2 linked regions of the Oryzias latipes genome follow. The protein of the gene in region 2 interacts with the protein of the main gene of each other region in a pairwise test. Links are inferred from orthologs where the notes say so. Each region holds a gene or a part of one and is shown on either strand. Other genes may lie near its edges. The genes, in order: atxn1l and hivep1.

What was found.
Region 1: the proteins of hivep1 (region 2) and atxn1l interact in a two-hybrid assay, tested with the Homo sapiens proteins (2 studies listed by BioGRID). The link is inferred for Oryzias latipes from reciprocal best matches to the Homo sapiens genes HIVEP1 and ATXN1L.

What each region holds. Positions count from the first base shown.
Region 1 is NC_019861.2:21,136,685-21,152,358, forward strand, and holds the start of atxn1l (ataxin-1-like), read right to left. Parts: upstream 7,571-15,674; 5' UTR 7,435-7,570; intron 6,146-7,434; 5' UTR 6,024-6,145; coding exon 5,013-6,023; intron 4,551-5,012; coding exon 3,114-4,550; 3' UTR 1-3,113. Other genes in the region: mtmr10 (myotubularin-related protein 10), read right to left, coding at 11,009-11,614, 11,980-12,162, 12,355-12,525, 12,631-12,803, 12,985-13,055, 13,288-13,357, 13,907-14,037, 15,006-15,094. UniProt on the Homo sapiens protein: Chromatin-binding factor that repress Notch signaling in the absence of Notch intracellular domain by acting as a CBF1 corepressor. Binds to the HEY promoter and might assist, along with NCOR2, RBPJ-mediated repression.
Region 2 is NC_019869.2:19,509,480-19,524,532, forward strand, and holds the end of hivep1 (zinc finger protein 40), read left to right. Parts: coding exon 1-3,345; intron 3,346-4,575; coding exon 4,576-4,709; intron 4,710-4,799; coding exon 4,800-4,975; intron 4,976-6,420; coding exon 6,421-6,522; intron 6,523-8,536; coding exon 8,537-9,033; intron 9,034-9,141; coding exon 9,142-10,134; 3' UTR 10,135-10,647; downstream 10,648-15,053.

The sequences.
Region 1 (15,674 bases), on a different chromosome or scaffold from region 2:
ATATATTTAGCTGATTTAGGCTTTTTTTTTTCAAAGTGATGATGTCGTTATGATGGTTACATGGAAAGCAGTGTGTGAAAAATAAAGTACAATGTTTGATAACACACATACTGTCATCGATTTTTGGATTTTTTTTTAAACAAATCCAACTCTCCTGATTGAATTCGTCCCGAGCTGGCAGTTCAATACTGGATTGACAGAACGCAGTTTAACCAACGCCACAAGACCCCAGAAAAACCAGCACATTACCACTAGTGGAAAGCTAACTGACTTGTGCAGCTGGTCTTCTTCTATTTAGAGCGCAATTTCTCCTTTTCAGAGACTTTGGAACAGAGAAAAATTAAAATAATAACCCATTATTCTAGGGAGCAAACAGGAACAAAAATCCTTACAGATCTTGTGCAACACCAATACATTTAAAGATCTGTACATGTTTGTAAATGCGTTAATGCAGAGACAAAAACTCCATTGCTAACATCCTTGAATATTCACACTTTTGTTTGGGAGTCACAAATTAAGTTTTGAGCAACAGAGGGAATCAAAACTGTAACGGAGCAGAATGGGAAACAGCACAAAGCTGCAGATAATGAAATGTCTTTAGTTCTGCTCCAGAGTTTCTTTTGATTTAAACAAGACAACTTGAATATAAATGTCTCAGGAAACATTGCTCCAATATTTCCATCTCACAAATTGTACAAAGAAAAGAGTTTAAGGCATTATTGACAAGCGTCAAAGCTATGTACAACAAGAGAAATGCATATATATCTACAGAAACACAAAACCTGCGATTGCTCCACAATTTTGTGCGCTCTCATAATTTAGTCTTCAACTCCCCAAAAGTTTTCCTTTTTAAAACACTGTGAAGGACATTTAGTGCAATCACTTAGAGCAACAGACCATCAGTGAAGTTAAGGAAATTAGACATCTTTGCATGAGAATTTTACAGCACACACCTTTCAAAATAAAAGGAGGATCAGAATGATGGTCTGTATGTGAGCATAAACAGGAGGTAATGAACAAATAAACTCCATCGAATACATCCTGACCTAAAACACATTGAAGTGGCTGGCAACCAGGCCTAAACAACTTTAAATAACACTTCTTCAACGATTTGGCATCTGCTGTGTAGTAATCAGGGTTGGGTCAAAACGAGGCTCACTGAACATTTAACGAGTGTTAAACTTCTAAAAAAGACAGTGATTCCAAGCACAAATCCTAAAATTAGAACTGTATCAGCCAACCTGCTCCACGCATGAAACAATGAAGGGCACAGTTGTGGTAACTGCATAGAAAATACCAACACTACGTCAAAGGTTTGCAGTGAAGAACTCTCACATCCTACAAGAACTCCTGAAGCTGAAAATGACGACAGTGGCATATGGCTCTTTACATGCACAGAGGAAGTTGTAAGCATTCAAGTAAAAGTTCACAGAAACTTCTGAACCGATGTTTTAAAGCTCCTCGCTATGACAACCGTGTCCATCGCTTTTCAATGGGATCAAAGTGTTTGCCAAAGGCAAGCCTGAGGATCAATGGTAGACAAGGCAAAAAAAAAAAAAAAGAGTATTTAGTCAATTGGTGAGGGGAATGTCAACATATGGAATGATAATTTGATGATTTATGCATGATCTAATTGCACTTCTTTTCAAATTGTCCTATTTTAGACTTTTTTGTCTGATATAAAAACCTTGACGTTAGGAAGGAACTGCAGCATTCTTTAGGATAATTTGTAAACAGTTAGAGAAACAAGTCCATTTTAATTTTGCCACATAGAACCAACACTTCTTAAAATATTCCCTTTGTTTATAAAAAAAAACAACACAAAGTATTGGGAGTCCTATTTAAATTTTAAAGTAAAATCAAGGGGAGGGGGGTCAGATGTGCAACACAGGGCAGTTTAAAAAACCCTGCTGGACCTACGATCCCTTTATATAGGAGCAAAGGATCAGATCCATACAAACTAACCGGGTCTCTTATGCGCATCCACTTTCAGAACTTGGGTTACTGAAATTGCCAACAGTGACTCAGTCCACCTTCAATTTCAGCAAACCTGCCAAAGTCGTGCTATCAAACTAAAGCTGATTAATCCTTTAAAACAGAGAATTTACCCCTCAAACACAATGAAACTCTTGTGGTGGGGCAGTACTTTTAAAAATGAACTATTGCTTTCATTTGGTAACAAGAATTGAAGCTTAAAGCAGACACGTCTCATCACCGCCTCACTCATCCACAATATTATGAGTAATATGAAGTAGTCTATAAGGAGGGTGGAAAGAAAACATTAAAGTTGGTCGAAGCAAGATTAGATCGAAGAGAACAGGAGATTATTCCAACCGCTAACATTCCAGTCCTCATTCAGAGCAAGTGGGAGGAAGGTGGTGACACAACGGATTCGCTTGATTTGATTGTAAGACAAATATGAAATGGGACATGTGGCCTGAGAGAGCTTTCCAACCTTTGCAGAGCGGCTTCCAAAGGAGTAACGAAGGGAGAGTATTGCTGCTGACAGCGGAGGGTTTAGACTCCTGTTGTGAAAGCACAATTTAAAGCACACTGACAAGTGGGAACAACAACAACAGCGGGTCCTCCAAATGTCAGCAACCACCTTTTTTTAGGGTGATTGCTTTACACAGAAGCAGTATTTTGGCTGCGCTGTGATTAAAACATTATTAGCTTTGAACTTTTGTTTTCACCAGAGTTGGTTGCTTCAAACTAGTGCGATGCAATAATTTGTTTTTAAAGACAGTCATGAACTCAATTCTCTAGGATGTTTTACATAGCCAAAACCAAAAGCGAATGTCTCAGAAAGAGATCATTACGTGGTTTGAGTTCAAGAACGTGGAGACAAAGGAGGGACGGAGGAAGAGAAAAGCAGTGTGTATGGACATGCCAGCTACATGCTTAGCTTTTCACGTCCCCGTTAAGACTGCAGCAGGCTGAAACCAGAACTTCTCACCAGACAATAATGATTAGATGCCTTTGTGTATTTTGAAGTGTGCAAAATCTCCAACATTCTGAGGCTACATTCACACTGTTTTTTCCCTCTTTCTCTCCTTGTCAAACTCTCGTCTTACTCGTGGCAGTCCCGTCTATGGTTGCTACCAAATATGATGCTACTTCCCTGCATTAGAGCGCCCCTCGATGGACAGTTTGACCTCTTGGGGGATGAAAGACGGCCGTGGGTGAGCAGAGGTGATTATCTGAGGACGCGGCCCGTCGTCCACTTTCACGCTGTATCTTTGGAGGCCGGGTGAAGACCATCGTCTCTGAGAGGCACCATGGGGAGTTTGTATTGCTCCCATGCCTGCCTCTGCAAAAGCAGAGCCCTCTGTGTGCAAGTGATAACTGCTCTGACTCCTGGGATGCTCAGCAGAGATTCGGCTTGTTCTGATGGGTGATTCTGTGTGTCCACCACCGCCTAAATGGATGACTTCATCCTCCTCCACAAACTCTTTTTCTCCATCCCGCTGCCTGTCTCTGTTGATGCGATCCAACCTGAAATGAGACTGCGGCCGTGACTGCTGAGGGGCAGGGGGCCCCATGAGCTGGTGACTAGGTCCTGATGTAGCATTGGTTTTGTTCAAAGTCCTTGTGAGGTTCTGCTGTTGCTGCTGCAAGTGATGCTTCTGTGGCTGCTTCTCCTGCTGGGGTTGAAGCTGTTGCTGCAGTCTAATTGACACACACGTGTCCCCGATTTGCAGGCGGTGACAAACCAAGCCGTAAAGCTGGGCTGTACGCTCAGGGCTGCAAGATGACCAGCCCTGGCCAAACACAAAAAAAGGGTGCTCTGGAGGCACATCGATTGTCACTTTGCTCTGCTGCTCCCCGACCGTAAAATGAAGCGATGCTAGACCTGGTCTTTGCTGGCTGGCACGGATGTCCATCACCAAGCTGGAGTCAATCTTAAGACCCCCACTCACCTCAGCACTGCGCACAAAATCCTGAGTCTGCAGGTCCTCCACACGCTTCAGCTCCCCAGTGGCCAACTGAATAATTGCACCCTTCATGAAGTGTGATGGATTACTGGGAGCCTGGGCAGGAAGGAGACTTGCAGCTAAGGCCTGAGTCACATCTGCTGCAGGCTGGATCACCGGCTGCTGTGGAAGCTGCTGCAGAGCTGCTGTCAGCTCTGCTCTCTCAGGGAGGCACACTCTGGCTGAAGAATCAGAGGCTTTAAAGCTTGGGTTAGGGGAGGATGTGGTGGTAGCATGGCTTGCTGAAGCGTCGTTAGTCTGCCCTGGGTACTGCTGCTGTGGCAGCTGATGTTGCTGCTGATAGTCAATGGGTATAAGAACTGGCTGCCCATTGGCGAGCACCACAGCATGGGCAGGTTGTCCTGTCTGTTGACTAGTCAGCTTGTGATGGTCACTGTAGCTTGAAGGCAGGGCAGAATACACGGTCCTGGCAGAAACGGCTCCTGTGCTCTCGCCATGGACATCAACGGCTCTCTGGCCCCCCTGACAGAGGTTCAAGGGGGCAAATGAAACCTCCTTTCGTAATCCACTATTCCCTTGGCTCGAGGAAGCCAAACGACCAACCACCTGCTGCACCTGAAAGATAAAGAGGATCACTGAGGATTAGCAAAACTCATTTTCATTTACTAAAGGGTTTGATTCAACAGAAAGCAGTTAGTAAGAAGCAATACAACACAACATGACATGTATACTACACATGTATTATACTATACATGTATACTATACACTATACATGTATTCTACAAAACTGCAGCTCACCATAGTTTACACAATTTAGACAAAGAAATGCAGAAATATGAGAATGACAATTAAATCATAGAGGTGTCACTACAATAGAAATGTCCACTTAAGGGCAACACCTGTGTCAAATAAAAAAATGAAGTAGATTACTTTATATCCAGATACTGAACAATGTTTTTTTAAGTGTCAAAAATATTCAAACATTTTAGTCCATGACAAAACATGAGCATTCCTCTACAGCTTTTTTTTTTCATGTGTAACCATCTGTATTTTACAAATGAAATCAATCGATCTTACCTCTAGATCACTGTCTGGAGTGCTGCGCTGACCAGGAGAACTTCTGCCTTCTAGCCTTCGGGTTTGCAGGACTCTCTCCTGGCTGTGCTCTTGTGTTGCTGAAGTGGATGTCACGCGCGGTAAATGTGCATTTCTGGCAGTGTGAGTAGAGTCCTGTACACCTTGTTCTCTATCACCCCCATTCATCTCTGTTTCATTGGCCAACTGAGAACTGTGGCCATCTCTGAGGGTGGAGGAACCCCTGCTGCCTTGAGCATGGTACAATCCTCTGGAGCTGAGCTCGGCTGCAGGTAAAACTCCAACTGTACCAAGGTGCTGTTGGACTGCTTGCTCTGAGGGTAGCATCAATGGAACACCACTTGAAGCTTTGGCAAAGGTATGAGTAGCTACCTGAGCCTGCGGAGGTGGAGAGACAACACCTTCCTGTATGATAGATTGGTAGGGAACAAGGTGAGAAACAGAATGGGCCTGAGGAATAGGTCCTGAGGGAGAGATCAACGATCCTGGGACAAAGCCAGGTGGTAGAGCGTACGGTACTGCAGCATAAGGGGGGCTAACGAATTGTAGAGGGGAATGAGGGATCTGTGCATAACCAAGAGGGGGGTAGGGGAGGCCTGGATGCTGCAGAAGAGGAGAGTGAACTGTATAGGCTTGAGAGATGTGGCTTAGCACTGGGTGAAGACTGTTGGATGAGTAAGTAACAGATGGAACAGCTACTTTGTAAAGCATGCTATAATGGTCAACAGGAACAGTTGATATATTGTCTGAATGATCCACTCTATAATGGTAACCTGCTTGTGCTTGCAGCCACTCTCCAGATGAGGTCCCTCCTTGAGATTCACTGTTGGATCCAGAGTTCTGGATGGAAGCCGCCTCGTCTTCTCCAGCAACCACTCCAGTGGCCGTAGCTCCTCCTCCTCCTGTCCCCCCTGCTCCACTGCTGTTATTGACAGGGAGGTCCCTCTTTTTTGGAGGCAGGCACTCCTGGTTACGCTCCTGAGCGGGTTTCATGGTAATCCTCTGACCAAACAAGTCGCTCTACTGTACTGCACAGGAAGTGAAACCTGCAGGCCAGTCCGCCCACACAGGAACCAGTTCTGCAAAGAGGGGGCTGACTTTGTCTGCCAATTCACCTGAGAATATGAATACACATTTAACCTACAGTTAAACAAGGGAAACAAAAGGAAAGCAAAATTTGACAGTCAATTTGCAAACAATACTTGGGTAAACAGTCGAGGGTTTAACATGCTAAGACACGTTACAAGGGACAAATAAAAAAATATCAACTGCTATGCAGCAAAATTACAAAGACCAGATGCAAACATCAATACAAAATCTATCGGTATATCAAACTATCAATCTATAATAAAATAATATTTAGAAAGAGTTAACAGCTTGAAAACAGTAGAACTCAAAACACATTAATTGGTCGGAAAATCACAGTTGCCAGTATTCCATTCCATAAATCTCATGACAAACAAAACAATTCCCAAACTTAAGTCTAATATTCAAAAATGTGAAAGATCATTCTAAATCTTAAAACAGGACAAATTGCTGAAAACGTTCCCTGGACTGCATGTTCTATGCAAGTTCATCCCATGCTGGGGTTATTGATTTTCTGAGGCACTAAAAGAATATATACATATCTCAGTGTTTAACCACCACTTACCAAGATTGTCTTTATAAAGAAGAAGCTTTTTCCTGGCAAGGTTATTTGCATGGAACTTTATTATTTAAAATACAAAGATAGCCTTTCAAATGACAGGTAAGTAAACATATCTTACATAATTTGTATGGTTGAGGAGTGTTGATATTAGGGGCTCATTTTGAACTCACAGAAATGGCCACATGTCTGTATTTAAAGTAACAACAATTAATCATGGTTAATGGGTGTAGATACTGTTATAGTGTAACAGCTTTTGTACTCTTGACAGGTTGTAGATGGTTGCTAACCTGGTGTCATGCAAACAAGTTGCCCGGTTGAATTCATACTTATTAGTACACAATTCAAATAATGTATTCAGTTCTATAGGAAGTTATTGTATGCAAGGGACGCCTTAAAACAACACGAAAAGAACAGCGAGTCCAGCGTCACACAGTTGTCTTGTATCCTGCCGCTGCTGAGTGATTACCGTTTGCTTTCTAGCTTCTATGGCTAAAGTTAGCAAGCTACTTAAGTCTTAATTTTCTGGAACATATACATAAATGAAAGAGTGACACTTACTAAAACAACATGAAATGCACAAAGTGTATTCAATTCCAACTAATACACAAGGTTAATAGTCTGTGTGTGTAATTTATCGAGCACGAAGGTACATGCTAGCTAGCTGAACAGCTAGCAGTTCGCTCTTGTTACTGATTCCTTCTCGACTTGCATCTTATCACTGACGATTTTCGTCGCTGTTTCGTTCTCGATACTTACCTACAAATGTCATCGCGGACGGGAGTTTCTTGACAAAAAGTTTGACGTGCAGGATAACGATTAAAAAAGCAGGGCTAACGAGTCAAGCCCATTTCGAAGGCCAACAGAGGCGCTCACCAATGACGTCACCACTTTTGCTCAATTTCCTCCTTTTCCAGGCAAACTTTTCAGTTTCTTAAAATAATTCTGAACTCAGTCACATATATCAAAAAAATACGCGCTAAACTCTTCCAAAATGCATACAAATGACAATGTATGCATCCAATTATACTTTGTCTTTTTTTTTTACCGTATAAGTGACAAAAAGCAATATATTTTTAATTGTTAGATCCACATTAGAGTCTGTATAATTTTTTCTTTCATAGTATTAAAATCACAGTACCAGTTACTGAGAGTGGCATGCGGTGCAAATCCCGGGTCAATAGCAGAAAGTGGAAATTACTATATTAAGTGCCTTAAATCTAAAAGATAGTATGGCAGACAGCAGAGGGAATAAAACCACCATCTACTATACAAGACTTTTTCAAGCATCATGATAAGATAGATAGAACACCTTTACAGTGTAAGTGTTGCAAATTTGTAGTGAACAGGCCTTTGAGTCCTGCACAATTAACTATCTCCATCTTTAACTCTTGTGTCATCAGAAAAGTTATCCGAGGAAACCTTCATGGATAATTGAATTGTAAGATAATCAGCATTTGTTGGTTGGTATATACAATTAGGTTTGAAATATTTATTTCAGAAAGTTAAAGTAGAAAATTTCACTGTATTACAGTCATTGTGTTCTAGTTCCTATTTTTCTTAAAATAAACTTTTGTACATATAAAATGTCAAACTTCAGTAGGAAAGCAAGAATGTGAATGCTGTGCTGCCCTGAGGTTTTGCTTAGTAAAATAAACACAAGAACACAGTGATGGTTGAAAACTAATGTAATTGTTTCATGTTACATTGTTATAAACACTTGATCCTCATTTTTAGAAGAAAAACAACTTCAGTGCACTTCTCATGAAATTTACTAGATTTAGTAAAAGTTATTTATTTTAAAAGACAAAAGTAAGCCAAAAGATATAGATTATAAATACAAAAAAAGTAAATCTTCCCAAAAAAGGCACAGAGGATGAGCAGCAGCAACTCCATTCCTCTTACAGAAATATTCATAATTGAATAAATACATCTGCCGAATCTAAAAGTCAAACTGTGACAATGAGCACAGCCATCATACAATTACAGCAGAGAACATCATGGTGAATTAAATGGAAAAACAGCATATAAATATACATCCATAAGTATAAAGACTAAATAAGGGATTAACATTTTATAGTACCATTAATTAAAAAAAAAAAATGAATTGGAAAAACTTCAAGCATATAAAAGTATTTAAATCTGCAAAAAATATTTTCAACCAATCTCTTAAAATAATCTATATTTTGGGTAAAATGTGCAATTTAGCATTTGAGAGGGCAGATTTGCACTCACACTGTATATACTATGCAATAAAGAACCTGAAACATTTATTGCCAAAGAACATGTAATAGTATAATCACTACTGGATTGGAAGATTAATGCTCCTCGTTGACAGGAAAAATTATGTTTGTTGCCAGGTCTTTGAGGCATTTTTATAACATGTTTTGATATTTCTATGGTGTCCTTCAAATTATACAGTAATGGCCAGAGATAAATTCTGATGCATCTCTATTCATGTAATGTAAAGCTGGTGATAAGTTGTTGACAGTAGGAGAATCATCTTCTCGGTTCTCTGCAGAGATCATCACATGTATGCTAAAGGTTTTATTTAAAAAGAAATTAAGGTAGGACAAACAGAAGATTTCTATTGTCAGCTGTCATAATGTTAAAGACCCACTCCCTTGAATATCATGCTTTTGGTGTTTTAGCATGTTTCTCATGATGGAAGACATATAAAAGAATTTAAGGTTAAAACTGTGTTTCTGTGCACTTCTTTATTCAATCAGGAGCAGATAAAAAAGCTCATGTTTGTGTCACAGCAACTGAATTGGGCAGGCCAAAGTTCCCTGTTCCGCTCAATCCTGATGCATCCACTTACAGATAAATAGATCCATTAACATTCTTCATTTTCCTCGTCTGAGCTGGTATCCAGCTCAAAACTGTACGGCTGGATAGCTCTGATATTGCTCAACATTTTTGCACTTTTAATGTTAGCTTGGAATTGTGAGGGGCTGTAAGCTCGCGGGAGAGTGTGTAGACAAAGGGATGACGGGAAAATCAGCGAAGGGTTACTTCCACGCCAACAGTCCCGCCCACAACTCAGAGGCAAATGTCTGATGGACACCTGCCACTCTGCAGAAACAATGTCTTAAAAAACACAGTTTTATTAAAATTTTGGCTAAAATCTACGTAGTCATAATGAAAAGACCACTGGGAACGAAGCAATAGTTAAAAATATAGGTGGAATGGGACTTCAAGTAAAAAACAACCTGCTCATGTAGGACTTGGAATCCAGAAGGCTTATTGGTATTATGAAAGATGACAGCTGAGCTCCCATCACCAGATCCACAGCTTTCCTGCCTGAAACTCAAAACCCCATTTGTTCAAAACAAGATTAGCTTGGGTCCATCACTTCACACTTGTTTTCACATTCAGCTACGACTTTTTTCTGATCAGTGCCTTACCAGAAGGCCTTTAGGAAAGTTCAACATCTTAAAAACAACAAAACGAAAAAAAATTATATTTTAGTCCTCACTAACTGCATAAAGATTCTGCTTAAGTAAGATTCCTATGACAAAGAATAGAAAACCTTAGTAAAACTAAATAAAGCAGTACAATGAAGTCACTGCATTTATCCCTTATTGCAGGTTTCCTTCAACACAGGACCTTGAAGGAAGAAAAGAAAAAAAAACTTAAATATAAAAGGATTTTCTATTACATTTAACCAGGTAGCACACCGATTCCTTAAGCCATGCTTTGGGTTTTTAATGGTTCTCTTTCTAAAATACGGCTAGGATGAAAAAGGCACAACATTCTCAGCTTTAATTACATTTCCTGAACATCAAAACAAACTAAATTCTTGAAAATCAGTGTTTAGTGAAGTGCATCACAGTTTTAGAATTAAGTCATTCCCAATTTAAAATACGAAACTTAAAGGATAATTGGATTTAAAAAAGACAAACTGTTGGCAGAGCAACAGCCATATTTTTAACAGTTTATTAATTATTACTCTAACGCACAGTGAATCATGTCAATGGATGAGTCTTCTGAGTCTGATCGAATAGCAGTTATAGAATCTCTGAAGGTGCCATTTCTGTCACACAAAAACCACCATAAATATCTCAACAGTGAAGACATTTCTCTGTCTTTTTTTTCTTTTCAAACAAACAATCCGCTTTAAAAGGTGTAGAAGATGTTAAGGATTTAGTTTTAACAATTAAGTACTCCCCAAGATTTGGATGCTGCAATAAATGGTGCAGTTTTTAGCTTATATTTAGAAAAACATTTAAATGGTTGAATTTGATCTCTTAGGTTTCTTATTAGTATTTAACAAAGAAATAATAAAGAAGAATTAGATTTTCTTAAAAAAACAAATATAAACCCATTACCCTTAAACAGTGTCATTAGCAAGAGTCTCCGTTGAGAGCCAGATCTTTGCACCATTCAAAAATTTGCCAATTGGAGTTCCCTGGAGATTTCGCCGGCATAGGTTTCCCACTGGACTAAAAGGAAAGGAGGAGGTAAAGACGTCTGGAACGGTGGAAGGGTCACATGGAGGAGTCGCCTTAAAATACATCCTTCTTTGGTTAGAGGGGGGGGCGCTCGGGCTCGGAAGTGGTGTGCTCCCTGGACTGGAGCCTTTGTATTGCCTCAGTTGGCTCTGCAATATGTCTATTTCATCGACCAGTTGGGATAGCTTGTGGTAGGTAGTGATGGGGCCTCCGTTAGGAATGCAGGCTTCAGAGACCCAGCGCAGGAAGAAGAGCTTCCAGAGAGCCACATGTGATGGCATGAGCAGGGGAATCAGGACGCCGTGCTGGTCAGCAGGTTGAGAGAACCAGTCTCTGAAGAAGCGGTCAGACGGACTTTCCACTTTCACTGGTGAGAAATCTGGCTTCAACTCGGATACCAGAGAGCTCCGTCGGCGCTCTCCATTACCTTTTAGCCCGTTAGCCGGCAGTGAAGACGTTCCCCGAACTGTGGAAGAATAAACTTTCTGTTGAAGAAAGAACCAGAATTAGGCTATTGTAAGCTTGTGTCAACTATAGAGGCAGTATATTATGTGTCAGTAAAATAATATATAGATAAAAAGAATTAGACTGTCATAAGATAAGATCAAAGCTATAAGAGCATGGAACATTTTTTAAAGAAAGACTGTTTATCAATTTATCAGAGAATGTTTTAGCTGCTTATTTGAACGGCATGGCAGAAATAAAAAAAAAAAACTAAAGGATGGATGTTTTCTCCTTTGTGAGAACAGGTTTTTCTGAAATCTCTGAAATGCCTTCAGACTGTGTGCAGAAGATCATCACATCAACCAAACTACAAGCTAATGTGACGTGGAATTGGTGTCTTGTGTACCTTTGTGCGTCTGAAGGTTTTCACTTCGCCGTTCTGAACACGTGCAGATCCTTTGCCGACATACATGGGGTTGTTAAAGAGGGTTTGATCTTTGGTGGAAAACTGCTGTGACCACTCCCAAACTGCAGGGAAAAACCCAGCAGGGTCTTCTCCTGGAGGGATGGCTTTGTTTTTGGCAAAGTCCTAAAAAGTAAAAAAGACATTTCACACGCTGCATTCTGAAGACTATTTCTACAGAACAAAATGAAATGTTGTTGGGTTTATTTGTTTTTTAAGGAAAACCTGGGGGGCATAATGAGCTTTGTAGCATTTTGATTAATAAAGATTAGGTTAACACAATACTTATTAGTCTCAATATTATTATTATTTTTTTACCGTCAAGAGTTGAGTCCGTTGCTTAGGAGAATTAAAGAGGAAAGTGCTGAACAGTGGGATCCACATGCTATCACTCAGCACTGTCAGATATGCCTCTGTGAACTCAAACGCAGCTGGATACTGGTTCATCATCTGCCATACGCAGTCCAGGAACAATGTGAACAGCGGGCACTTCATACAACAGGTAACAACAGGAAACAACACATCACCACACATCCCAGGGAGATCTGGAGAACTGCTTCCTGTAACTAGAAATATTAACAAGTACAGGCATACCTCCTCTCTATCATTCTTCTTCAAGTGGTTGCATCTGTCCAGAAAGCGATGGCCAGCCATCACCCACTCCTTCTGCACCAAACTCTGAAAACCAGTGAGGCTGCGATAGTGAGGGTCCAACATGAGCTGCACCAATGAGGACACAACACAGTTCAGGTCTCGGTCCTCCTCCTCTACACAACAGAAGAAACAAACAAACGTTATGCTAGGCCTGGACAAAAATGAGAGAAACAAAAAAAAGAATAAATTCCGCCAAGTGTCAAAGCCAGACTGGCCAGATTATTAAGAACAAGCAAAATCCAAACTGCACAGTACGCAAAGCTCTGTGACTTTTGAAAGGGAAAAAGGAGTTACCTTGAAGAATTACAGAAACATTCCTTCCATCCAAGAGGTAGACTATTTCTGCTGACTGTCTTAAAAAGACCCTTGGTTACAGAAAGAATAACAATTTCAATGACAATGACTGGTGTAGAAAAAAAAGCAAGTCAACGGTTTAGAAATGATTCACTTGGGAAAAATAAATATATTTGTGAGCTCTGTTTAAAAAACGTTCATAAAAATAACAGAAAGGGGAAAACACACAATATTCTTGTCTGTAGATATATCCCAAGTAAAACATTGACTTCTAAAATGATAAATAAGTGACTGCTTGTATACCTGACATAGTCGAGCCATCTGGAGTTTTCAATAGATGAAAGCCATCGCTCTTCAGTCTCCTCAAATGGATCTGCAGAATTCAAAAGTATTTCTGAAATGCGTCTCCTTTGGTAAAAAGCTCAACCCTTTAACCCTGGGGATGTTGCCTAAATAACAAAAGCTCTTTGGTATGCCATAACTTAACTCGTCTTTTTACTTAGGGACCTTAAACCTGTCTGGGGACTAAAGATGGAAATTAGCTTAACAGGCTATAAGTCATGTATTTGCATTTTTAAATGTTATATTAATATATGCTGTCCATGTCTTAAATTCACAAACCAACTCTTCAACCGTTTAGGCGATCAACATGAATCGGTGGATTTAGGTGAAATGCATAAGCGCTTCTCTTCTGTTGCAAACCACCCTAAGGCTGCTTTGCTCCGCTTCAGAATTTGCTAGAATTACGTTCATTGCGTAAACAGTTGAAGAGTTACGACGGTCGAAGGAATGTTAACACTGAAGCTAAAGTTCCGGTGTTAGAAATATGTTGATTTCTAAAAACACAGAAAATGTAAATGCAGAAACAGGACAAATGCACATAGAATGTGTTTACTTTTTTGTGCAATACAACATAACTCACCTAAGACACAAATCTGCCTGATTTTGGCAAAGGCACTTTGGATTTCTTGAATGGTTGGAAGACCCTTGTCAAGCTCTAATCTCACAGCCTCAGAGTCTTGAGGATGGCTTTTTCTGATGGCACTGAAGATCCTACAGAAGAGCAAGAGTTGGTGCTCACACCGTTGTTGACGAGAGAGCCAAGTCCTTACAATATTAAGTTCAGGTACTGAATGTGGTGAGGAAGTCTAGATAAATAACATTACCTTAACCAAAGGAGTAAACGTTAGCAAAACAAAAACGAGAACACTGTCATCATGATGATAAATGGGCCCAGATAACACTTATGATGCCATAAACCAAATGCTCGCCCATTACTAGATTTAAAATCTTATTCACCCGGGATTTGCACCGCATGCCACTCAGATTCAGTCACATCTAAATGTCAGGTCAGCAGTAATTTAAGGAGCCAAGGAACCAGTTTACGAACACTTTAAACACTGATTTCCATATTTTTGTTTAAAAAAAGGGGGGAAAATGACTACAATACAACCACAGACAACAGCAACACAGCACAGAAAAAGGAAAACTTTGATCGTCTGTTATCAAACCACACTTTGTCCAAAATGTGCAATAGAAGATCAGCACAGAATCTGCTGTCTAAATCATTGCCAACAATCTCTTAGTGTTGACTGCCAACACTTGTTAAGGGAATTCAATAAATTGGTGTCACAAATGGACAAACCAAAATGTTTAAACTTAAGTCTATGAATCTGTATCTCTAACAAATGTAATCCTCTGGTCTTCATTGAAATAATAACACTTTTTAAATGACTGTCTTAAAGTGCAACAAATAGTTTTATATTTAAAGATGCATTTTACAGTCTTTATTAAAAATGCATCTATTGAATTGCTGCAGGTGAACTATATCATGAAGATTTCACCACAGACACATTAAAACCCTCTTCAAAGATGGGGGTCTTGTTATGACCAATGCACCGTTTTCTTTACAAACAAGGGAACTGAAAAAGACAAACAATTTTAACGTAGATTTCGAGTAAAGAAATGGACAATTTAGTTGAAACTTTTGGTCCAACAGTTTGAAAGCAGTGGAAAAATACCTCTGTTCAATCTTCCTCTGCTGCTGCAGGTCTGTGATGTTGGCCATGCGGATCAGAGCACTCCCATCACGGTTACTCCAGCACCACATCTTTCAAAAAGGACATTTTAAATTAAACAGAGATTTTAAAAAATGCATAATAATTCATGAATTAGTTTGGCAAAACAAATTTTGGAAGTCACAGATTATACAGGGTGGAAATGACCTTGTACAATGATTGAAGAATGTATTTGCTTAATTGTGCAGAGAGCAAGTGTTTAGCTCCTACGTGGAGATTGGAGCCGCTTCTTCACTGTTCTCAAGATCATTTGTGAAACATCACATGAGCTAAGATCTTGCATGGAGCTCCTGGTGGTGGGAAATTGTTAGAAATTTTGTATTTATTCAATCTTTTAAATAATTATTTAATAATTGATGTCTTCTTATCAAATACTTGTTTTCTGCACTGTTAAACAAATAAATTCTTTAAAAAAAAATCCTCCTATGTAATTCCTTAGGTTCTTATTTACATTCTAACAGTTGAAGTGCATCAGTAATGAACACTACTGAGCTCTGATCTTTGTAAGTTGTATGGCTTAAAATTTTGGGACTATCAAATACTCTACTGCCCAAGTGTTTTTTGTTTTACGACCTAAACATCATGCAAAGTAAAATCAGCAGCTGGTCAGCT
Region 2 (15,053 bases):
ACAACGCCCGGACACTCAGTTCCCCCACCCAGCATCAATCCAGTGCCCCGACCTTTAAGGGGCTGTCAGTCATTTGATGAAAAGATTAGTTCTTTGAATGATGAGGTGTTCTTGTCAGCACCACCAACCCCAAATCCCGCAATACACTCTCGAACTTTAGTCAGACAAAAAGCTGTGGACGACTTTTCAACTAGTGAGGGGCACAGCCTGGTGGCTGTTCGGTCAATGGATGAGGGCTACCATGGGCACAGCAGCTTGGTTGAGCAGATGCAGAGGAGCAGATCGTTTGAACACGGGCAGGACCGAAGCAGGAGGCCTCAGCAGAACAAAGGCACCATGTATGAGTGCGAGACTTGTCGAAATCGGTACAGGAAGTTGGAGAATTTTGAAACCCACAAAAAATTCTACTGCTCAGAACTTCATGGTCCCAAGAACAAGCCTTTGGTGGTGAAGGAACCAGAAGAAGATGTTTTCCATGTCAACACACAGCAGCACATACCAAGCGGCACTGGTGCACTAGACCAACAGACGTCAATCAGAAAGAGAAGGAAAATGAAAAGTGTAGGTGATGAAGATGATCAGTCTCCAACTGACACCATTCCACCATGTTTAGTTGGTTGTGAGGCGACAACAACTCTGCCAAACAAGAATTTTTCTCAGACTGGGCTCATAGTAGACATCCAACCCAACAGCCAATCAAAGCCTCCTCAGATCCAGCTTGTAGCACGAGGTATGAACACGGCAGAGTCCAGACTGTCTCCCATTCAAGAGATGAATATCAGTGGTGCTGCTAAAGGAGACCTTCAGAGGCAAGGCAGTGGCACATCAGTCATCAGACACACCAATTCTCTGAGCCGACCCAACTCATTTGAGACGGACTCCCTTGATAGAGTATCTCCTGATGTTTTGGAGAAAGATCAAATGAAAAGTCCACAGTTAGATAGATCTTCTGGAGTCTCAACTGATTCCTACCAGGAAAAAGCTTTCAAACCTACATGTGACGAGTACAGGAAACTCGGGAGGGAGTATAGCAGCGATAGTATGAGTGCTGCAAGCTCAACCCCAGTCAATCAGTCTCGTCTTGTACGACAAAGCAACATCCTGGTTCCTGAGATTCTGGTAACAGAAGACTCAGACAGGGAGCATGAACCTAACACCAGTGAGCCGGCAGACAAGCCTGCAGAACAATTCAACTGGCCCCAGAGAAGTGAGAGTCTGTCCAAGTTACCAGCTGAGAAGCTCCCCCCTAAGAAGAAAAGAATTCGTCTGGCTCAAATGGACCAGTCGTCAGGTGACTCCAGCTTTGAGTCCAGCTTCTCGCGAAGCCTTAGCAGGGACAGCAGCCTCTCTCGAGGCTCCAGCATCTCAGCCTCCTTTGACCGAGAGGAAACAATTCGATCAGAGAGTCCATCCAGAGGGGAAGGTAAAACTCCAGAACCTCAGAGTTTACCAGTGGCGCTCAACACCCTTGGGGTGCCTGGAATGATGAGGCGTGCCGCATCTGAGCAGATCACTTGCACTCAGCCATCGGTGGAGATTTCGTGTGATTATCGAAGCAAGTCTTTTGACTGCGGCAATGTGCCTCCAAGACGATGTCTGTCACCCATCGGTCAACCCAAAACTGGACAGGTCGCACAGGTGCCACTGATTGAGAGAAGGCGGGGACCACTTGTTCGACAGATGTCCTTAAAGATTGGCCCGGAGAGTCAGCAGCCTGTTCGGAAATCTGCCATTGGCACTTTAGACAAAGCCCTGATTGCTAACGTCAGCTCCCTCGGTCAGTACAGATCCCAGCAAATTAATATTGTAAGCAGGCGTGCCCCAGTGGCGTCCGCCATCCTAAACACAGCGGAGCCACCGCTGCAACAACACGAGCAACTGGTGCAAAGCATTAATCTGGGCAGCCCCACCCAGCAGCAACAAGTCCATGGTTTGCCACACCCCTGGTACCAAACGGCAAAGGTCCAGTTTAGTCAGAAGGTACAGCAAGCTCTCAGCAAGACATCAGTTTGTGGTGAAAATCTTCAAGATAAACCATCTGACTTTGAGAAAAATAAATCCTTTGTGCCCAAATACCAACTCCAGTGTCCCAGCCAAACCTTTTCCTTCTGTACGCAGGGGACTCAGATCGCTTTGCCAATTTTAACTATTCCAATTGCCAATCCGATCCTGAGCATTTCCAAATCCTCAGACATCATCCAGAATGTCTTTGTGGCCAGTCAGCAGACGTCCGATGTGAAGACCCAGACTGTTGTATTTTCAAGTAAACAGCAGAAGGAGCCGTTGGACCATAGCCAAACGGGCACTGCTTCGTTGCCGCAGATCCTGATCACCCATGAGCAGATGCACCAATCCTCTTCTCAGTCCAGTAAGCACTACCAGTTGTCCACTCAGAGTGCAGAGGTCCCACATGACCGGACTCAAACTGCAGCAGTTCCTGCCCCACACACAGCAGACCATTCATCCCTGGGTTCTCTGCAGTGCATGCAAAAACTAGCCTCTGTGACATTGTGCCCACAACAGGAACCCGCTGCTTCCAGCAAGCGCATGTTGTCACCAGCCAACAGTTTGGACATCTACATGGAAAAGCACCAGAAACGTGCCAAGGACGAGCATGGTGTAGCCTGCTTGACAGACGGTAGGTCGGCCGGTTACCTCAACTCAAAGATATCCGAGGTGTCACGCCAGAGAAAGCTAATGCTGGTGAGACAGGTGTGTACGACTGAACCGGTGGACAGTCCCATTGAGACAGAGGCCCCACCCCTGCCTGATCTCAAACCTAACGAGGAGAAGAACTCTGAGGCTGATGATGGAGTCAAGCCCATGTCTCCTGATGCGGTAGGCGTAGAAAAAAGCAGGGCAAAGGAAATTAACGAGAAGAAAGATCCGGTCATAAACACTACCTCCCTGCCTCCTGACAACAGTCTGAAGCCCCAGGAGAAATCCGAGGAGCAGAGGTGGACCCCGGCCAAATCCCTGATACGGCCCTCCAGCTTCCATGCAGGTCAAGTGAAACTGACCACGTCTGTGTCAGCGGTGAACACCAAGGAAGCCCACCGGCTGTCTTTCCCCAGCCTGAAGACCACCACCACCTTCACATGGTGCTTCCTGATGAAGAGGAAGCCTATTCACATGCAGCAGACTGACCTGAAAACCTCAGCATACGCTGCCTGGACCGTCAGTACAGATAACTCCAATCCCCTTGGGCTGCCCACCAAGGTGGTCTTGTCTCTTTTTGACTCCAAGCACAGCTCTAGGAAGATCCACTACACCTCCGCCATAAGGACCAGCAGGGAGTCTGACATCCTGTCCTTCTCGGGCAAGCTGAAGGACGTCATGCTTAAAGTAAGTTTTACCACAATTATTGTCATTAGAATAACTACAACAAATCAAAAGATTTACAGATCAAACGAGCTGCAGTCACTTAAGTTTTAACTATACCTCTGTCCTCCTAGGATGGATTATCTAGATTCTTTTATGACTTAACTTACATTTTGATGTGATTCAATTAAATATTGTTTTATTCTTCAAATAGAACAATCTTCAAAAAACTGAACAAAGGTAGAACTTACTACTAAAACGACAGATTCTTTTATTAAAAATCAAACTTAAGGCAGTTTTTTGCCTGAAAAACAAACTTTTCTTTCATAGAAGAATCTATGCCTGAATTTCATTAATCAATATAGATCATTTGGATATCAGTTATCCAACTTTTTTTCTTTTAGCCAACCGTGTTTGATGGTCGTCGTTTTTCTCAACCAGGCTCTCAAACTCCCAACCCTAGGGTCATTTACTGCCCCCAGCCCCTAAACGCAAGTCACTGAACTTGGTTTTAAAGTGAAATGTAATTACTCATCTGAGGAATATACACTACAAGAAGAAAACATCAGTGATAGTGGAAGAGAAAGATCAGTGTTTCAAAATAAGATCGCTGAAAGTTTTGGTGAGCACAGCTTTTTGTTGATTGGTGTTTGTAACATTAAGAGAACAAGAGCAGAAAGTTAAAGCACAGCAAGTTATACCAATTTTTTCAGGATGAATGTGAAACACCACATCTGTGTTTTGGAGTTAGGAAGATAAGAGCATGAGTGGAAGTGCTGTCATGTGTCTCAGCAGGAACAGAGCCAATTCCTCTCTTTTCACAGTTCATAAACTCAGTTAGCTGTTAGAGTGGAATGAAAGAAAACTATTGTCAGGATTTTTATTTATAGTGCTTCAAGTTAAGTTTTCAGAAATATATTTTAAGTCAAACAGTGATGTGGCCCTTTAAGGACATGATGGAGGCCGCCACCTCCAGAATTGGAGGTCCAAAGTCTAAAGCTGATTTTGGCTTCAGTGTGTTTATCATAAATCTACGAAACAATGGAAATCTGGTTGTCTTTGAGCCTGGAAGAGTTCTTGAAGACATCTCGAATGGTTTTAGGTCCCTTTTCCTTTTAAGATCCCTTTTTCAACAGTATTTATCTGGAATGAATGGGTTTGGTCGACCCAAACGGAGGTGTTAGAATGTTCCCTCTTGATTATTTGGCTTTGTTTCTCCACAGTGAATCCATGAGTTTCTTCCTCTTTCTGCAGATGCCAGCATCCCAGAAGTCTGTGTCGTCTGAAACCAGATGCAAACCACAACCAGAACCTCAGACCAGCCATGATTCGGAGAAAGATGCGCCGCTGTTGTCCGAGCCGCGGCGCGTCAAAATATTTGATGGCGGGTAAGCGTCCATTTGGTTGTCATCTTGAGAAGCGTCAATGGTTGTTTTGGATGTTCGCATGCCGCTCACCGTTTCCCTGAAAACCCACAGGTTCAAATCTAATGAGGAGTATGTGTACGTGCGCGGCCGTGGGCGGGGCAAGTACATCTGCGAGGAGTGTGGGATCCGCTGCAAGAAGCCCAGCATGCTGCGCAAACACATCCGCACCCACTCGGATGTGCGACCATTCCACTGCGTCCACTGCAACTTCTCCTTCAAGACTAAAGGTCAGCTTCGGTGAAGGCTGATCACAGCTTGTTGTTACTCACACTAATCTACAGTGCAAAACTTCACTTCAATTATGTTTTGAAGTAATGTTGTTTGTTTTATTTAAAAAAATAATTGTAATAAAAATGGTAAAAATGAGAATTTTATGAAATTGGACAACAGCAATTCAAACAAACTTAGTGGGAAACTGCACATTTTTACAGAAAAAGGATATAAAAATGTGAATCTTGTCAGATGACAACAAATGTAAGGATCTGACACTACTTTTTAGACAATACATTCAAAATGTAAAGTAGTTTTGTTCTTGGTTTGGATAGTTTAAAGGTTTTAAAGTGACAATGTGTGTTTGGTAGTTCATTTCTTCATAGTTACAAATGTTTTTGCCAGTAAATGACATACCGTAGTAACCTGTTTATTAATAGACATGTGATCCTACCATCAAAATGGCACCAGAAAAATACATAAAAATAGGATTTATCTGAATCAACCATTTGAACAAAAACAAAAAATATATATAATTGTAACTCTGCTTTGACTACTTTACCCCAGAACTGTCAGCTTGTGGTAGGGGTAACATGTCTTTAACAAAACAAAGTCACAACTCTCACTATAATTTACCGATAATCTAGATCATAAATCCAATTCAGCAAAACAAATACAAGTTGACCAAAGTGTGGAATCAGTCAGAATGAGTCAAAATTAGCCCAGAATGGAGGCGTGGCCTTTTTGGTGGCAGGTAACTGCCATACCCTAAGGTCTTAAGTATGGATGTACAGATTTTTAGGAAAGTCAGAGTCTATGGTGTCAAATCTGCCAAAGAGGCCAAAACAAAAGAGACCAGTGGGAAAATGTTGTAGGTTATCTTTAGCACGTAACCCCCGCCATAAACGAGGGAACACTGTGCATTATTAAAAAGTGAGGGTGAAAAAATGGGAGTTCTTGTAGATAAAAAACAACTTAAAAAGAATTAAATCAGGTTTCAGCAAAGAAACAAGTTCTGTAGTAGCTACAAAAGACTTGCATTATTTGGTTAGTAAAGATTCCCCCTGTTACTGGTAAGAAATCTTAATTTTGTTCTTCAAAGAGGTTTTAAGTGATATCGTCGAAGCCCTCCCTCCTCCTGGCAATGCATTCTTCTGCAGAAACCTAAAGTTTGTTTCCCTCTAAAGCTCCGAATGCTAGCCTCTCATCTGAGCATGCTCAGTGAAACTAAAAATGTTTCTCCAGCCTCTCCAAGACGTAATGATTCACTGTTCTTTATTGAATTTGGCCTCCCACGCGCCTCTGCAGAGCCGCTCTGGGTGTCAGCAGCCCACGTTCATTTAAAAATGTCTTCATCAGTTACTCACCTTTGCAGCTTTCCCAGAGAGAGCGCTCGCTCTTACGTAAACGGCTCTGCGCTTCGGTCAGAGCTCTGCCCACATGTGAGCCCTCTCATTTGCAGGAAACCTCACCAAGCACATGAAGTCCAAGGCCCACAGGAAGAAGTGCATGGAGACGGGGGTGCCTGAGGGTGTGATGGAGGATCAGGATGCGGAGGACTCTGGTACGACCATCTGTGCTGAACCCACAAACGTGAATCTGTGAAGCCGGGTTTACTCGCTTCACATCCAAGTGTTCTGCTTCAGCTTCGTTTGTTGGCCGATTCTGCTCACGTTCTGCCGCTAAAGGCCACACTCTGTGAAAAAACAAGTGAGCGGCGCCGCTTCCTCGGCTGCGCCGCGCACATGTGGGTGGCAGGCGCAGAGTTTACAAAGAGGAAATTTGCTGCATCTAATTTTAGAAGAACGGAGTGAGGGAGGATTGGAGTTTGTTTTTCCCTCCTCCGCCTGTGATGCAGCTCGCAGGGAGAGGACGGTTGGGAGGGTGAAGCTCTGCTGCAGCAGCACACAAATGTCCCTGAATGTTCTCCCGCTGTGAGGAGGCAAGTGTGGGAGATGAAACTGTTTGTCCAGCCGTCTGATTTCAGTCACAGATTTTCAGAAAAACCTGGAAGCTGTTGGATTACAGTGAACCCCGACACATACACACCCGTCAGAGTTGGGACCCTTTCAGTGTCTGCCGTTAGGTCCAAGAGTTTACTTATTTATTTTTTCTTTGTTTGCTCTGAACAGCCCGGAGCTAATGTCAGCGCAGCTAAATAAAAGTATAGCAATTTTTAAAAAACAACCAAAAATCCCACTATGAGCAGAACCGCCCTGCACGGCCATTCAGGCTTTGTTCTGGAGGTCAGGACCAAAGATTTGCCAAAATGCTTGTGGAGCACAGCATCTCCTAAAAGTCAGTCTCTCAGTCAATTATTTCCTGTTTTACTAGGCTGGGTTTACCACCAGGGCTTCTTTTGACTATTTTAATTCTTCAATCGTTTATGCAGTTAACGCAATTCCAGCAGATTCTGAAGTGGAAAAAGGGACTTTGTACGGTGATGCAACATTTTCAATATGGAAGGCCGCACTTCTCTGCGTCAGAATGATCTGATTTTCATTGTTCGTGTAAACCGTCATATTTACGGTACGATAAAGAGCTTGTATTATTCCGGTCTCGCCAACAACATCTCCAGCATTAAAGGGTCAAATAATTTAAACAAAGTCAATTTTCTGTTAACCCTTTAACAACAGAGCTGTCGCCGGCTACGCCTAAATAAAGCTACATTCACACCGTTAAAGAATGTGCATGCAAGGAGGGCCTTCTTCTCCTTTTTCTACGGTTTACTTACACTTGTCCGCCGCCTACGCGTGGAAGAGGTTTGGTGCGAAATGTCCAAGTGGTCCAAATGTTGTGAGTCTTTCGTCAGGCTTTTTCTTTCACAGGTGATATACAAAAGACTTACTGTCACAGAATTCAAATGGTTCTAAAGCCACTTTGCTCCGTATCAACATCAGCTGGTTTACATTGATTGCATAAACACTTAACTACTGTTAAGTGCTGCATATCAACGCAAAGCCGCTTTGGAATCTGCTGGAGTTATATTAATTGAGTAAACAGTTTAGGAGTTACGGTAATGTAACAGGTTAAAGATGTTGTTTTTTTTAGCAAAAAAGCTGCTTTTATTTTCTGAAAACTTGAGAAAAGTAGCATCTCTCTCGGTGGAATGATCATGTACATTTCTTTTAATTATTTTGTTGGACTTTTCCATAACCAGGACCAGCAGCACTCTGCAGCAGTGCCATTAGTTTTTATTAGAATTTTCCTAATTTTCCTTCTTGCTAATGAACTTTCATGGATTATTTCCAAAATTTGATTAGGATTTCTGTAATTTATCCAAAAAGTCAGTGTCTCTGGTTTTCAGTGAGTCTGCTTCCTTATTTCTGACACTTTGTGTTCATTTTCCAGATTATTTAGATTTAGACTTTTTATAATCAGACGTCACGGTGATTTGGTGATTAGTTTTTAATTAAATTTAAAACAACTTATTTTTCATTGTTTCCATTCTTAATTATTTACTTTTCTTTGTTATTGTTTTTCAGTTTTATTTAAATTTTCTGGAATTACGTGTGTCTAATTGTTTTCAAAGATTCTTCATGAACTAATTAGGATTTATCCCGGATTTTCCCCTGCAGGAGACCGGAGTCAGCTGAGCGGCGCCGACCGCCAGGATTCCGATGGTGATGACTCGGACGGCCCAGACGATGACGACAATGATGAAGAGGAGGAGGACGACAGTCAGGCGGAGTCTGGCCTGTCCACCAACCCGTCTGTGTCTGCCAGCCCCCAGCACCTCCCCTACAGAGACGCAGAGTTTCCCCCCAGCGCACTCCTCGCCCAGATGTCCATCAGCTCTGTCCCCGCCTCCCAGCCTGCCGCTCCTGAGCCCCCAGCCTCCGATTTCGCGTCCACCGCGTTCTTCCATCCGCAGACATCCGTGTCCTGCAGAGGCTCCGCCCACCTCCCTGCCTCTCCCCCGCCTGCGGTCACCTCAGACTCGTACACTTCAGACCCGGAGTCGGTGCACATGATGAGCCCCATCTCCCCCTGCAGGCAGATGTCCATCGATTACCCTGACTTTGACGGCCCCTTCAGCCCCCCAGCACAGGGAAAGGTCTACAAGCTAGGCCAGGTGAGTTCCTTTGCGCCCCCGCCCCTAACTTAGTCATAGCTTTACTGATGCAGGTTAGTTTAACTCAAGACCCCCCAGATAATAACTAACAATTTTCTCTCTCCACAGGATCCTCATGCCCCCCCTTCTACAGCCAGCGCTGATTCCAACACGCCTGTGGACAGAAGCACGCAGACCTCCTACCCCGCCCAAGTTCCTCCACCCCTGCCCCCGCACACCCAAATGCAGGCGGTGAGAGCGCAGACCCACCTGTTCAGTCACCTGCCGCTGCACTCGCAGCAGCCGGCCCCCCTTCCCTACAGCATGCTTCCAGTGGGAGGGATCCAGCTGCTGCCCGCCGGCCTGGCCACCTTCCTACCGATCCAGGCTGGCCCGGTCCAGCTTACCATCCCTGCTGTGAGCGTCATCCACCGAAATACCAGCCCGCTGCCACCTCCCAACACGCCCCCCCACCCAGAGAGCCTACAGACTCATCCAGTGGTGGTCCAGGAGCCACTCAGCAGTGTGGTCCCCTGCTTCCCCCTGGGGCAGGTGGCCGGCCTGCAGGCGCAGACGCTCAACCTCATGGGACTGACCAACCCTGGCCTGGCTTCAACGCCGCTGTTACCCCCCCAGGGCCTAACGCTTAACGCTGCTCTGGGCCTGCAGGTGCTCGCTGCCAATCCCAACTCTCAGAGCAGCGCCGGCCCGCAAGCGCACGTCCCCGGCCTGCAGATTGTCAACATCGCCCTGCCTGCCATCATCCCCTCCCTCAGCCCTCTGTCTGCCCTCAGCCCCCGGCCGGGCTCTCTCGACATGCAGAGCAGCCCAGAGGCTTCTTCAGCGCCACCTGCTGGCCCTGCCTGGGGTTCTGTGCCACCCAATCCAGGAGGGTGCAGCCCTTCGATGAAGCAGACAGTGGAGTGGAACGAGAAAGAGAAACCCCCACCTCAGCGTCCAGCTTCAGCACCCCAAATCCCCGCTGAGCATCCAAAATCGGCACCAGATCCCCAAGCCGTTGAGCTTGCGGTACCTGTGTTTGAGAACAGCCGACAAACGACCATCGACGACTACAACGAGGCGTCCAGCGACGATGAAGACCGTCTGGTCATCGCCACCTGAGACGGTGGAGCCTCCCCCCCCTACCATATTTGGAACTCTGGTCACTTTATTGAACTGAAGACCCTGCGGGGCTCGCCACCTCAGCAGTCAAAGCACAGAAGCCGTTGTACGTGCAATCAGACAATGACAACAATCCTTTGAGTCTGACTTATCCAACCCTGTTTTTGTACATGTTGTAAAAACAAGTGTGCCTTCATGGAGTTTTTGTTTGGGACACTGTACATAGTTCTGAGGAGTTCAGTGGTTGTTTTTGTTCATTTCAGATGAAAACAGAGTTGATCACTTTTTATCTGGGAGGATCTGTCATTCGTAAATGTATGGACTTCTCAATGTCGTACTGGTATATCTGCATTTCTATGGATTTTGGGGCAAACGTGTACAGATGTGTTCTATTTATTATGCTCCATATAGTGCCCACAATGATTCATAAGTCCACAGGTATGTGCATCAAGGTAGCTCTATGTTGCTGTATTAATATTTACTGTATGAGTAAACGTTTGTTTATGAAGCCTTTGCTGGTGGTGTTTGGTGTCATTGGGGGAGGGCGGGGTACGGGACTTTTGTAAATCACATAACTCAGCTTCCACAATCTGACTCAAACTAGCACAACCCGTAACATAAAGGTCAAGTTTGATGCTAGGTTCACGCCGCCCACGGTAAAGCACGTTCAAGCGACCACTTTTAATGAAAGGTTCATGTGACGCGCGCACATTTAGGTTTCTGCGTTCAGATCTCTCACATTCACGCTCAGCAACTTTTCAAGTCATTTTCTGAGGTTTTATGAACAAAATGTGCATCTATTGAACATTGCATGAGAACTTGATTTGGTGCCAAAATACTCATCCAGTCAACTCCCTAAGTTCAACCACACTCTAGTGTCATTACCCATAATTCCTTGCTAGATCTATCCTTCAAAGCTCTCTGTGCTGCCCCCTCCCATACAGGAGGGGGCAGCATGTCCTTTTTTGGGGTTTATCATGAAATAGTGTAGAAAAACTAAGTTTCATAGCTTTAAATGTGTTTTATTTCCCATTTTCCACTGTGGTCCACCTTTAGAGAACCATGTTTGCAATTTGTTGCGTTACAATAGCCGGTTTGAAACGTTAGGACGTGACACTGGTTGTTTTTTTAACCCTTGTGCTATCTTAGATGACCCCGCCCTTACATTGACATGTTCTCCCTACCATGACAAAGGTGGATAAAGGTGAAGAGGATTTCATGTAATCCATGGACACCAGTAAAGATCACAAATCATTGAAGAAAAAAGGTTCAGCGCACTGTGTAGTGGGTCTAGATGACCCCACTCCCAATGGTAAAGTGCCTAGGATAGTGTTGCACTCTTACTGGTGCCATAGCTTTGGAGAACTGCACCGCATCGTGTTAGATGATCACAGCAGGTCTGGACTGAACCAGAGTCCACTAGAACCTGCTCGGACCCGCCTTTCGCAGGTTCACTGAAACGGACCCGAGCACAAAACGGTGTGATTACAGCAGCTAAATGCACAACACTTTGGGCTAAATCTCGGGCTACCCTTGGCAAAAAGTAGTTTATTTTAGTATACTACGAGTATACTTGAAGTTAGACAGTATGCTTGAAGTTTACATCTTTTTAGGCTATATATTGATGGAAGTATTCAGTTAGTATCAAAAATATCTGAGTCATGTGTTAATTATTTTTTGTCCATGCATACTCATATTCCAAATTATCTATCCATTCCCTTTTATTGTGTTTATGATAGTTATTCTACTGTCAGACATATTTTCATATTGGAGCATTTAATCAATCTGATTTGAGCTGTCCTTTGTTACAGGCAGGTTAGGAGCTGAAGAGGCCTTCACCATGAGTTCTGAAGGTCCCCTAATGCGAAATCAATGTCGGACATTAATTTCCTTCAACCAATAAGATTTTGAGTTAGTGTCAGCAGGGCCTCTTAGCAGGCTTAGGCAACGTTACAGTATTCAGACTTTCTGATTGGACAGAAGTTTCAGGAATACAGGAAATATTTCCCACATGCAGCCTTGTCCAGTTTGACACAGAGCCGCGGAGCACTTTTTGATCTGTCTCAGTTAAAAACAGAGCTGACTGTAACGTACACCATGGAAGATTTTGCAGGGAAACCTCCCACTGTTCTCATTGACTTCCTTAATCAGAAAAATCTGATAATGATCATGAGCAGCTGTTCAGATTTGTGTGTTTGGCGCTGACCATCCCCGTGTCCACTGCGTCTGTCGAGGGGATATTCTCGGCTCTAAAGCAAATTAAAACCTACACGGAAACGCAACTGGACAGACTCGGCTCTCAGCATTGATGGAATAGAAACACTAGAAACAGTAACAATGGGAATTGAAAGAAAACACGACAAAAGTCAAAAAGTTTTTCCAGTATTTTCACATTTTCCAAGCCATGTCATGACAAAAATGTCCTCATGAACATGTGGACGCAACAAATGCAGCTTTCTGCACTCATAAAACAGCATGACTCAGACTCTGCCTCCACCGTGTTCTTCATCCTGCAGACATCCTGGTTGTGGGACACGACTGTGGTACATGAACATCTGAACATGAAACTAAAAAACTCCTCCATCTCAAGGACATTCTGAGATCATTTGTGAGCAGCAAAGGCTAAAATGGTGAATGAAATGATGTTCTCAGGATTATCTCAGTCTCATTTATAATTCTATTGGTTGTTTTTAAAAAAAAAAAACGAATTTAAATACTGTTTTACTCTTGCAACTTTGGTTTATTATTGTGCTGTACCTGTAAGTTGAAATTGTGTGCCCAGAAAGGCGCCATATAAATAAAATCCATTATTATTTTTATCAACGCATCATCATCTGCTATCCGTCTTTTTAAATTCTGACTCCAGAAAAATCGAACTGAAGAAAGGTTCCTCAGTTTACCTGATCAGCTGTGACTCAGCCATCTATAACAACCTCCTCTTCACAAAATCAACTCAACTCAACTCAACTCAACTTTATTTATAAAGCACTTTAAACAGAACAAGGTTCACCAAATTGCTGAACAATGCAAAAATTAATAAAAGCACATGAAAATATAAAGCATAAAACACATAAAATAGGTCCGGATTCCAACTCAGTTAAAAGCCAAAGTGAAAAAATATGTTTTAAGAGCAGATTTAAAAATACTGAGTGAGTTTATCTGTCTGAGGTACAGGGGCAATTCGTTCCAGATTTTTGGTCCGAAGACTGAGAAGGCTCGGTCACCTCTCAGTTTTCTCCTGGTCTTCGAGACGACCAGCTGTGTCTGATTTGTTGACCTAAGGGAGCGGGGGGGATTGTACACCTGAATCAGGTCAGACAAATATTTTGGGGCGAGTCCATGGAGACATTTAAAAACAAATAGGAGAATTTTAAAATCAATGCGTAAGCGAACTGGGAGCCAGTGAAGAGATGCTAAAATGGGAGTGATATGTTCTTGTTTCCGTGTACCAGTTAGAAGACGGGCAGCAGCATTTTGAACTAACTGCAAACGAGCAAGTAATTTCTGGGAAAGCCCAACATAGAGAGCATTACAGTAGTCCAAACGTGTTGAAATAAAAGCATGGATTAAAATCTCAAAGTCATGGCGGGAGAGGAGAGGTTTAACCTTGGCCAGTTGTCTCAGGTGAAAAAAACTGGATTTCACCACTGAGTTTATATGAGCATTAAAAGTTAAATTGCTATCCAGTTTCACACCTAGACTTGTTGCTGTCTGTTTCAGGTGATCATTTAAAACGCCTAAGTCAACATGTGCCTTAGAGACATCACTTGGACCAAATAGCAGAACCTCTGTTTTTTCCTGGTTTAAGTGCAGGAAGTTACATGACATCCATGTCTTAATGTCATCAAGACATTCTAGTAACTGGTGAGCAGAATATGCTTCTTCCTGTTTTAATGGTATGTAAATCTGACTGTCGTCAGCATAGAGGTGGAATGAAATCCCGTGTTTGCGGAAAATAGACCCAAGTGGAAGCAGGTACAATGAAAAAAGAAGAGGCCCCAGAACAGAGCCCTGAGGTACACCACATGTGAAAGTTGCTCTACGGGATTCTGCACGTCCAAGACGGACACAGAAGCTCCTCTCATTTAAATAAGATCTGAACCATTCTAAAGCACTACCTCGAAGACCCACCCAGCTTTCCAGGCGAGACAAAAGGATTTGGTGGTCAACTGTGTCGAATGCAGCTGCCAGATCGAGCAGAACCAAAACAACATGGTGACCGGCATCCGTTGCTAGAAAAATGTCATTTGAAACCCTCAATCAGAAAGGACGTGATGCCCAAGTTCAACCAGCAGATATTAGTAACTATTGCAAATAATTCAGTGTAGTTAGATTAATTTACCCCCACCACCACCACTTTTTGAAGGTTCCATGTCCTAATTTTGGATTTTTCCCTTTCACAGTATTACAACACAAATGTGCTATCTTTTCTAACTGTTTTACCATATTATTGTACTTTGTACTTTAGAATGCCAATCTATATTTAGCTTATTTTATTTCGTTTCATTTCATTGTTTTTAATTCCTTTGAAGTCTATTATGTTTTAGAAACTTTTTTTTTATTTCACATCCCTCAGCTTCTTTATTTCTGTCACCTTTAAAGCTAGGCCAACAGAGCCCCCTTCAGGCTGACATCTGTCAGTGCATGTGGCCAAAAACAACATGCCTCTTACAGGTCTCTCCCATAATGACATCACCGCAGCATCCAATCTTAAATGTTATAATTGTTGATCTTTTTTCCCCCCTTTAAATTAGTTATAGAAATCTATTTTCTGCAGCTATTTCTACTTTATGTTATGAAATGAAAAAAAAAAGCTGCATGGAATTTAAAAATGCATAATTATGGTTTAGACTAAGATTTTAAAAGAAGGCTTTGAAAGCATGAAAGACAAAAAAGCACGACTTAATGCAAAACTGGTT